2 linked regions of the Xenopus tropicalis genome follow. The protein of the gene in region 2 purifies or fractionates together with the protein of the main gene of each other region. This does not show direct contact. Links are inferred from orthologs where the notes say so. Each region holds a gene or a part of one and is shown on either strand. Other genes may lie near its edges. The genes, in order: slc39a10 and mettl9.

Region 1 (3,821 bases), about 28 Mb from region 2:
AGTGTCAACTTATTCTGCAGTGCTTTACAGAGATGATACATCATTCACATCAGTGCCGCTTCCACAGGTGCTTACAATCTATGATCCCAATAACATTACCAAAAAAAAAAAATAAAAATGCCCATTTAGCAACAGTCAGGTAATGTGGGCGCCATGATATTTAAAATGGGTCACCATTCAGAAAGCACTGGATCATCTTACCTTCTAAAGGCTTAAGTTGAAGCCATTCTGCATCAGACCTCCGATTTGAGCTGTGATCAGATAATTTTCTGCCAACTGCAGCCTCATCCAATTTCTGTTTTCTCTTTAGCCACTTCCGCTTCCCCTACACAAAAGAAAATTGCCAATTCCCCATTTAATTTGAATCCAAATGAGATGCCACTGTGTACTTAATTAGCACATAGGAACCACTTGCTAAGGGCCAACGCAAGGGGAAGTTATCATCAGACTGTACTGGGCAAGCTGTGAAACTGACGCTAATGGCCAAGAGTTGTGCTGCAATTATACACACTTAAATCATTCTGCTATTAAGCATCTGTTTGCAAAACAAATATTTCATTAACAAATACATTTATTGCAGACGGCTACAGGAGAGAAGAGGGAATGACAAAATATCTACATGAGCAAGAAATGAAAAGTAATAAATTCATGTTTCAACAAAACAGGTTTGTTATTTCAAATGTTTTATTGTAAAATATATGTGTCACAGTTTAACTTTTATAAACTCACAGTGGCACGTAAGTACGATATAGTCACATGGTGAATGTCCAACAACCACTATCTGAAGTGTAAATTTAAAACTAGTGCATAATTTCCTTATTTCATTTATTCCTGCTATGCAACTATTAACTGATGTATTTTGGGGAAAAAAAAAAAAGTTTATGTGACAGTATTTCTTCTGTTTAATTTTTTCAGTTTCATTCTTCATTTCCCAGGGTGCCACAGCCATGTGACTTGTGCTCTGATAAACTTCAGTCACACTTTACTGCTGCGCTGCAAGTTGGAGTGATATCAACCCCCTCCCAGCAGCTGATCAGCAGAACAATGGGAAGGGAGCAAGATAGCAGCTCCTAGTAGATATCAGAATAACACTCAATAGTAAGAAATCCTAGTCCGGCTTGGGACTACTCCAGTTACATGGTAGTAGGTTACCTGAAAGCAGTTCTAATGTGTAGTGCTGGCTCCTTCTGAAAGCTCAGACTCAGGCACAATGCACTGAGATTGTGCCTACACACCAATATTACAACTAAAATAAAAAACATTTGTTGGTTCAAGAATAAAATTTTAAATGGTAGAATGAATTATTTGCTAAGTAAACAGTGTAATTTAGAAATAAAAAGTTTAATAAAATTTGTCTTCATTTTTTATGTCCTATAGTTTAATTATTTGCTGCCTTTTGCCTCTTTCCAGCTTTGAAATGAGGGGGGGCTGACTTGGGCAACAAAAAACTTGCTCTGTGAGGCTACTGTTACTTTATTACTTATCCTTCTATTCAGGCCCTCTACCATTCATCCTATAGTCTGTAATTCAAGCAGCTGAAACTCTCCATCAGAGAGCTGCTGAACAACAAGCAATGAAGACCAACTGCAAAGTGTCTCAGCATCATCAGTGATACTGGTACTCAGAGTGCAATATAACAAATACTATAACTATTAAATAAATATTTTGTACATACCATTCTTTCCTTGTAATGTTTAAACATCCACAGGCAGTTCTCCACAATAAACAGGAGATAAATTCCACCCAAAGCAACAAGACCCTTCATAACACCGTCATACTCGCTGAGAAAAGACTGATCCTCACTGTGCAGAGATTCATGATTGTGCTCGTGACTGTGATTAGGGGCTTCTGTACCATGATCATGGCCCCCTTGTGACTGATATATAAAAAAACCAAAAAAAAAACCACATAAGACAAAAGTATTATTCTCTTAGAACAGTAGATTACTGTGACAAGAATGAATACACAGGGAATGAACATGTAAGGGTATGCAGAGTGTGCAAACTAGATAGAAGCAATCTAGTCCGTCCATATACCATGAATAGCAGGCACCCATTTTGCAGGTGGGTTACCTGTGCACTGGTAATTATTTTCCTCGCAAAAACCAAACATGGAGTCTGATCCTTAGGTCTAGGTTCCTGCTTGCCCTGTTTAGTTTAGAGATTAAAAAAAAAAAAAACCTATAGTTTCTTTGTTAGAACAATAAGCAAACAGCAAGTTCATTACCATATTAGCTATATTCATTGCACTATGCCGCACAAGAGAGATATACTACCACTGCCCATTTAAGAAAAAATACTGGCAACATTGCCTGGAGGAGCATCTGGCATTTGACTATACTCTAAATGCACCCCTGCAGACCTCTCTTTACCTCCAAGACAGAACCTAAGGTTTGGGAAAAGGGGTACCTCTGGCTACCGAGCCTAAAGATAGAGAGTGGAGAGATCTGCAGTGCTCTATGTGAAATACATTTACAAATTAAAGCTGTTATAAATAATTATTAAAATGTTTAAAAATTGGAATTATTATACTTTCTTTGATTAGTCAGAATTCTTTGGGATTTACATTCTTTAACGGGTTTAGTTTTGTAGTGGTGGCAGCCAGAAGGTAAGTAGGAGATGCATTTTAAATAGCATTGCTAATCACAAGTCAGTCATATACAATAAACAATCACATTTACTGAGGGGCTTTAGATATACATCTTAGAAAGCATATGGGTCACATGTTAGACATTTGTGATAAAAAAAAAAAGTGCAATACTTACATGAGGTAGCAGATGAAGCAGTGCATCCCCACTGAGCGTTCCAACAGCTAAAGCAACCAGGAAGTTGAGAAGATACTTGAAGCAGCCTTGGTTAATGATCGGAATCAAGATAACACCAAGTAATGAGAGCAAGCTTATGACAGTGATTGAGATCAGGCCGCAAATCCAGGCTGTAAAGAAATAAAAGCAATGTAAATAAATGTGTATAACGGTCACAAATATAGATCCATTTTTTCAGGATTCTGACAAACACCAAAATCTTGCATGAAAAGAACTGGCCTAACACCAAACCAAATTTGAATCCTATTGTATTCCCAAAGGGAGGGGGAGAATCTGCGCACAAAACTTATAGTATAGTTTTTCTAACTAATTGACACTTGGTACATTACAATTAATTCATTCTAATGTTTAATTCTACTGTTATTCTTGAACAAAAATATATATTTTTTAGCTGTAATATTGGTGCGTAGGGGCAATCTCAGTGCATTGTGACTGATTCTGAGCTTTCAGAAGGAGCCAGTGCTACACATTAGAACTGCTTTCAGATAAATTGAGTAGCAGAAACAATAGGTTAACTAAAGGAGTCATAAATTGGTTGAGCTGGACTTGGATTTTTACAATTAAGTGCTTATAGAACATCTACCACTAGGTGAGGAATGGGAGCATTTTTAGCAAAACAGGTGTCAGGGAGCAGGGGGGGGGGGAATATCGCTCCAACTCCCAGTGGAATTTATCAGGGAAACTTACCTGGGAAACTAAGAACATGGCTAGCCCAACATCACATTTAAATATAAAAAAAACTGTTTGCTCGAGTGCTATTAACAGATGCATTTTGAAAAAAATGTTTTCCCCCTGACAGTACCCCTTTAAATGTCGACCAGGAGTTGTTCATCCACTCCCTACAGGAAGGAGATACTTTCCCTATGTAGTGTAATCCCGCCAAGACACTATGTATTGGCGGTACTATATTCACTATATAAACAGGGGTGTCGCTGTAATAGAAGATGTGGTTGGATATATGCAATGTTTTATTACTATTTCCTGATAAATCAACCAT
Region 2 (4,586 bases):
TTTTTGCACTTTACTATATTCCATATTTGCTTTAATCCAGGTCCATTCAAGTACTCATAGCTACATCAATATAAAGACAATAATGCAACTTAATATTGTTTCTCATTGACTGGGAATGTGGTGTTGAAAATGATACTTTAGAATGGTAAATAGTTCCACCTGTTAAGCACTACTATAGTTGTCTAGGATATTATCTATAGCTATGTTCAAACGTTGTGTCTTGGATATTATTTCTGTATCTTGATTTTTTTTTTATATGATTTTTGGTGTTAGTATAAAGGTCTTTGTCAGTTAGCAATGCGTATTTGTGTTTTTCTTTATATGTATTTTTATCTGCTCCTAACTTCCAAACTGTCCCACTTGAGTCATACATTTCTTGGTTCCTCATGAGAGACCCAGGGCTAGTTAAAGGCTTGTCAATGATTTGTTAACTAAGGCTGTTTTTCCTGCAAATTGGGGAAAGTCTTGTAGACCAGTGCAGGTCTGGACTGCGATTTAAAATAGGCCCTGGCATTTCAGTACAGAAAGGCCCAAACAGCCCTCCCAACAGCCCAATACATGACTATGGCATCTTTCAGCAGCCCCTCTGGAATTTGCCAGAACCCACAGATTGCCAGTATGGGCCTAGACCAGCGGGTTCTCACCTGTCAGTGTCATTTTGACACAAGTTTCTCCAGATCAATTGAAATTCTATTTTTATAGAGAAATGAAAATATTAAGAGTAAATATTGTAGTGTGAGATCCAGTGCCATTTCTGCCATAAAGTAATGGGAAAGCCTTACCCTTTCTAACTTTCAAATGGGGGGGGTTTCCACTGACCCAGCACCTAATAAAAACCACTGCTCTGTGAGGCTGTAATTTTATTGTTTGTTACTTTTTATTAATTATCTTTCTACTGAGACCCTCTCCTATTCATCATCCAGCCACTCATCCGACGTGTCCTGATATGTTGTGCAAGTATTGGGCCAAGCCCACAGGGCCAGGGGTTTCAGGCCGGCCTGCACATCACTATGATAGGTTACAAGCCTGGCCAGTAAAAGTCATGCTTTATGTCAATGTTGTTAATAGGGAAAAAAATAATAGAAAGACTGTAGTTTTTCCCTTGAAATAGTTGGCAACCCTCCATCTACCTCAGGTGGATTCACATAAATCTGGCCAGTCATACTTACTCACTGACAGACCCACTATAGCTCAATGATAACTGGACATGTACATCCAGCAATATGTCATTTTTACCTACAGTTTTCCCCACTGCCCAGAGGCAGAGCACATGCCCTTCCATTCTTAAAAACTGTCCCTTCACACATCCTCAGCCTAATCATATAGTCTATAAACCAATGAGAAGCTGAATACGCGGTTATGCAGTTTCTCGTTGGATCCCAGGACCGTGCATGATAGAGAAGAAAAGGCCGTGCTAGAGCGGCTGATCTGAGCTCTCGCTTGTGCACTGTGAGCAGCAAAGGAATGAGGTCCGGGCGGAAACACTGTTTCCTCTGCACAGGTTCCGCTCCTTTCTTTATTTTTCCATTCTCTCCACCCCTCTCTTGTATTCCACTCCTCAGGCTGATGTGTACATCCCGCTGGGCCATGGCCTGCTCCGGTCCCGGACGAAGTGAGTGGGCGCTGCTCAGATGAAACTGTTCGTGTGCTGGATAATTAGCTACCTGCTCTGCCTGGCCGGGCTGAGGAAGATGTGGAGTGGCCGGTACCTGAGGAGTCACCTCAGCAGATCCCTGTACATGAATATGATGAGCCACAGCCAGGCCCCGTACTGGGATGGGAATCAGCAGGTGTGTAATGTCACTCTGGTGGGGGGCAGGAAAGTAGTGACACACCTAGTACACTAATCAGCCCCCCCCCCCCCAACCCCTCAGGTGTCCAGTCATTAGCACCCCCATCTTCTGTCTAGTTCAGAGATCAGCAACCTATGGCAGTGTTTCCCAAACTGTGGGGCCTGGAACAGTGGCAGGGGGGCTCAGCATGCTGGCAAGTTAGGTCAAGATTTGAGGAGCACACTGATTTGCTTGCCTAGATACAAATGAAAGCCCAGATGTAAAGGTCTGTTAAAGTGAGATACGGTGCCCTACATTTGTCAGAACTGAGCTTTGTAATCTAGAAATATCTAAAAGCCTGATGTAGATTTGCCATCTCTCAACTCGCACTGCTTGTTTGGGCACAACTTGCGTGGGATTTTGAAACTGAAAAGATTAGGAGTGGTAGAATGGCAAGGTGCATAAGAACAACCAGATAGTACACTGAAATAAGGGGGGGTGGTGAATTCATTGTAGCAGCTTTTAAAGGGCACGTAAATTCAAAATTAAAATTTTGCCTAGTAGACAAAAACTCTTATCCTAAATCTGAAGTTCTGTATAATGCCCCTTTCAGTTTGCTTAGTTGCTACAATAGGTTTATTGTTTTAGATTTGGACATTAACGTTTGTGCCTCCTTTGCAGTGGTACTTTTGCGACACAGAAAAATTAAGTGATTGCCTTCGGCCGGTTTTCATCCAGAGTTACTTAGACCATGGAACCCAGACATTCCTGAACAGAAGTATTGAGAAATCTGGCTGGCTTTCCATTCAGCTCTACCATTCCTTCATGTCCTCTGTGTTCAGTATGTTTATGTCCAGAACATCAATCAATGGGTAAGTTCTTTACTTCTTGTATATGAAGAAGTGCTGTCATGTATATGCATTTCTGTTCACTCACCCATTGTAACATTAAAATAAATAACCCAAAGGATAGTATCTTATCTTTAATGCCATAATTTACTATATTAGAATTGCACCATTATATTATATTATATAACTGTTACCACTAGTTTGCAATGTAATGTTTATGTGTATAATGTTACTCAAAATAACAAAAATAAACAGAACTGAGCATAAGCTACCATATACCGTATCCATATAATTTTACTGACATTGGTAATAAACACTGTCTCTTGGAAGCTCAGACTTAGGTAGAGTTATTGAAAATGGGATAAAAATGTAGTTGGCTACGAATAATAAATAAGTTAAATAACTTATGAGTGGTGTAATCTGAGGCCCAACAAAGTTTCAGTGTACCCAACTGTCAGGCCCACATGTCAAAGGCAACAGGCTGATCAATCAGATCTGTCAGGGAGTAAAGAGTGTCTGCAGCTCTTTCTTCTTTATCTACCACCAATAAAGTGAAATTTTCAGGTTGAACAGATACATTTTTTGAAACTGAATAGTTGCTATACATGCCCTGATGGTCAGGCAGTATGGTCAAAATTGGTCAAACCTGGGTACATACAGCTAGCCTTTTCCTCTCTTTGCAGGTTGCTTGGAAGAGGGTCAATGTTTGTGTTTTCACCAGAACAGTTCCAAAGGCTTCTCAAAATTGACCCCGAGTGGAAATCACATCGCTTGTTGGATTTAGGTGCAGGGGATGGGGAAGTGACTAAAGTAATGAGCCCTCATTTTGAAGAGATCTATGTTACAGAAATGTCTCAGACTATGATATGGCAACTTCAAAAGAAAAAGTACAGGTCAGTTATATAAACAAATTCTGTATCAGGTGTGTATGGAACACTTAGAGATCACTGGTTGTTTGCTGTTGTTCCTCGATAAGTGTATAGTTTAAAGAGAAACATCTCCTTTTTACTAGTTTACCTTAAAATGCGTATCCATCATCCGAAGGAACCAATTATCTGGGTATAACTGATACCTGGAGCTTCAGACTATGACTTAAGCAGCGCTGGATGTTGGGCTTTTCTTTGCTTAAATTCAGGAAGTTGGGCAGGAACTTAGCTACCAGTTCTGATTATTATGGTTGCAGAAGAAAGTTTGGGAGTTTTTACTGCTGAAAACGTTAATCTCTTAAGGAAAAAAATATTTTCTTTTTTCCAGAGCACTGGTTCCTGGGCATTGTATGGATACCATGGAAAGCCATGGAAAGCTGTTAGGATCCCTAAACAAAAATTTACTTCAGCCAGCTAAGCTTAGACAGTCTGCTTAGGTGCAATAAATTAATAATTTGATGTCCCTTATATGGTAGTAAGCAGCTACTGTGAATATTAGATGTAAAAGCAGTATGATAATATGAGAGGGAGCTGCCAAAATACTGATAGAGATGTATTATTATTATTTGGCACCATGCTTTAAGTCTTAAGATACAATAATATGATCTGCCTCAACCCCCTCAGCTAAGGGAATAAGTATGTGAGTTTCTTTTTATTCTTCATGATACTTATTCTGGGACATATAGATATTATAAGCATGTTTTACACAGTAATGCCTGTTATGCCTGAGATATAGATGGTAAAACTGTAACCTGTTTGTCCCTGACATAAATGAATTCTTTTCTCATATCTAGAGTGCTTAATATTGATGAATGGCAAAGCACAGGATTCCAGTATGACGTTATTAGCTGCTTAAACCTCCTTGATCGATGTCATCAGCCAGTGACATTACTGAAAGAGATGAGAAGTGTTTTGGAGCCAACTAGAGGGAGGGTAATACTGGCACTAGTATTGCCGTTTCATCCCTACGTAGAAAATGGTGAGTTGTATTGCAACAATTTGTTGCATCTATTAAAATTCAGTTGTTTTACCTGTGCATA

What was found.
Region 1: the proteins of mettl9 (region 2) and slc39a10 purify together in Homo sapiens (co-immunoprecipitation; 3 studies listed by BioGRID and IntAct, with this or other methods). This does not show direct contact. The link is inferred for Xenopus tropicalis from reciprocal best matches to the Homo sapiens genes METTL9 and SLC39A10.

Annotation. Positions count from the first base shown.
Region 1 is NC_030685.2:52,802,923-52,806,743, forward strand, and holds part of slc39a10 (zinc transporter ZIP10), read right to left. Parts: intron 2,935-3,821; coding exon 2,765-2,934; intron 1,877-2,764; coding exon 1,676-1,876; intron 326-1,675; coding exon 202-325; intron 1-201. UniProt on the Homo sapiens protein: Zinc-influx transporter. When associated with SLC39A6, the heterodimer formed by SLC39A10 and SLC39A6 mediates cellular zinc uptake to trigger cells to undergo epithelial-to-mesenchymal transition (EMT).
Region 2 is NC_030685.2:25,156,836-25,161,421, forward strand, and holds the start of mettl9 (methyltransferase-like protein 9 precursor), read left to right. Parts: upstream 1-1,533; 5' UTR 1,534-1,631; coding exon 1,632-1,790; intron 1,791-2,453; coding exon 2,454-2,644; intron 2,645-3,303; coding exon 3,304-3,513; intron 3,514-4,340; coding exon 4,341-4,525; intron 4,526-4,586. UniProt on the Homo sapiens protein: Protein-histidine N-methyltransferase that specifically catalyzes 1-methylhistidine (pros-methylhistidine) methylation of target proteins.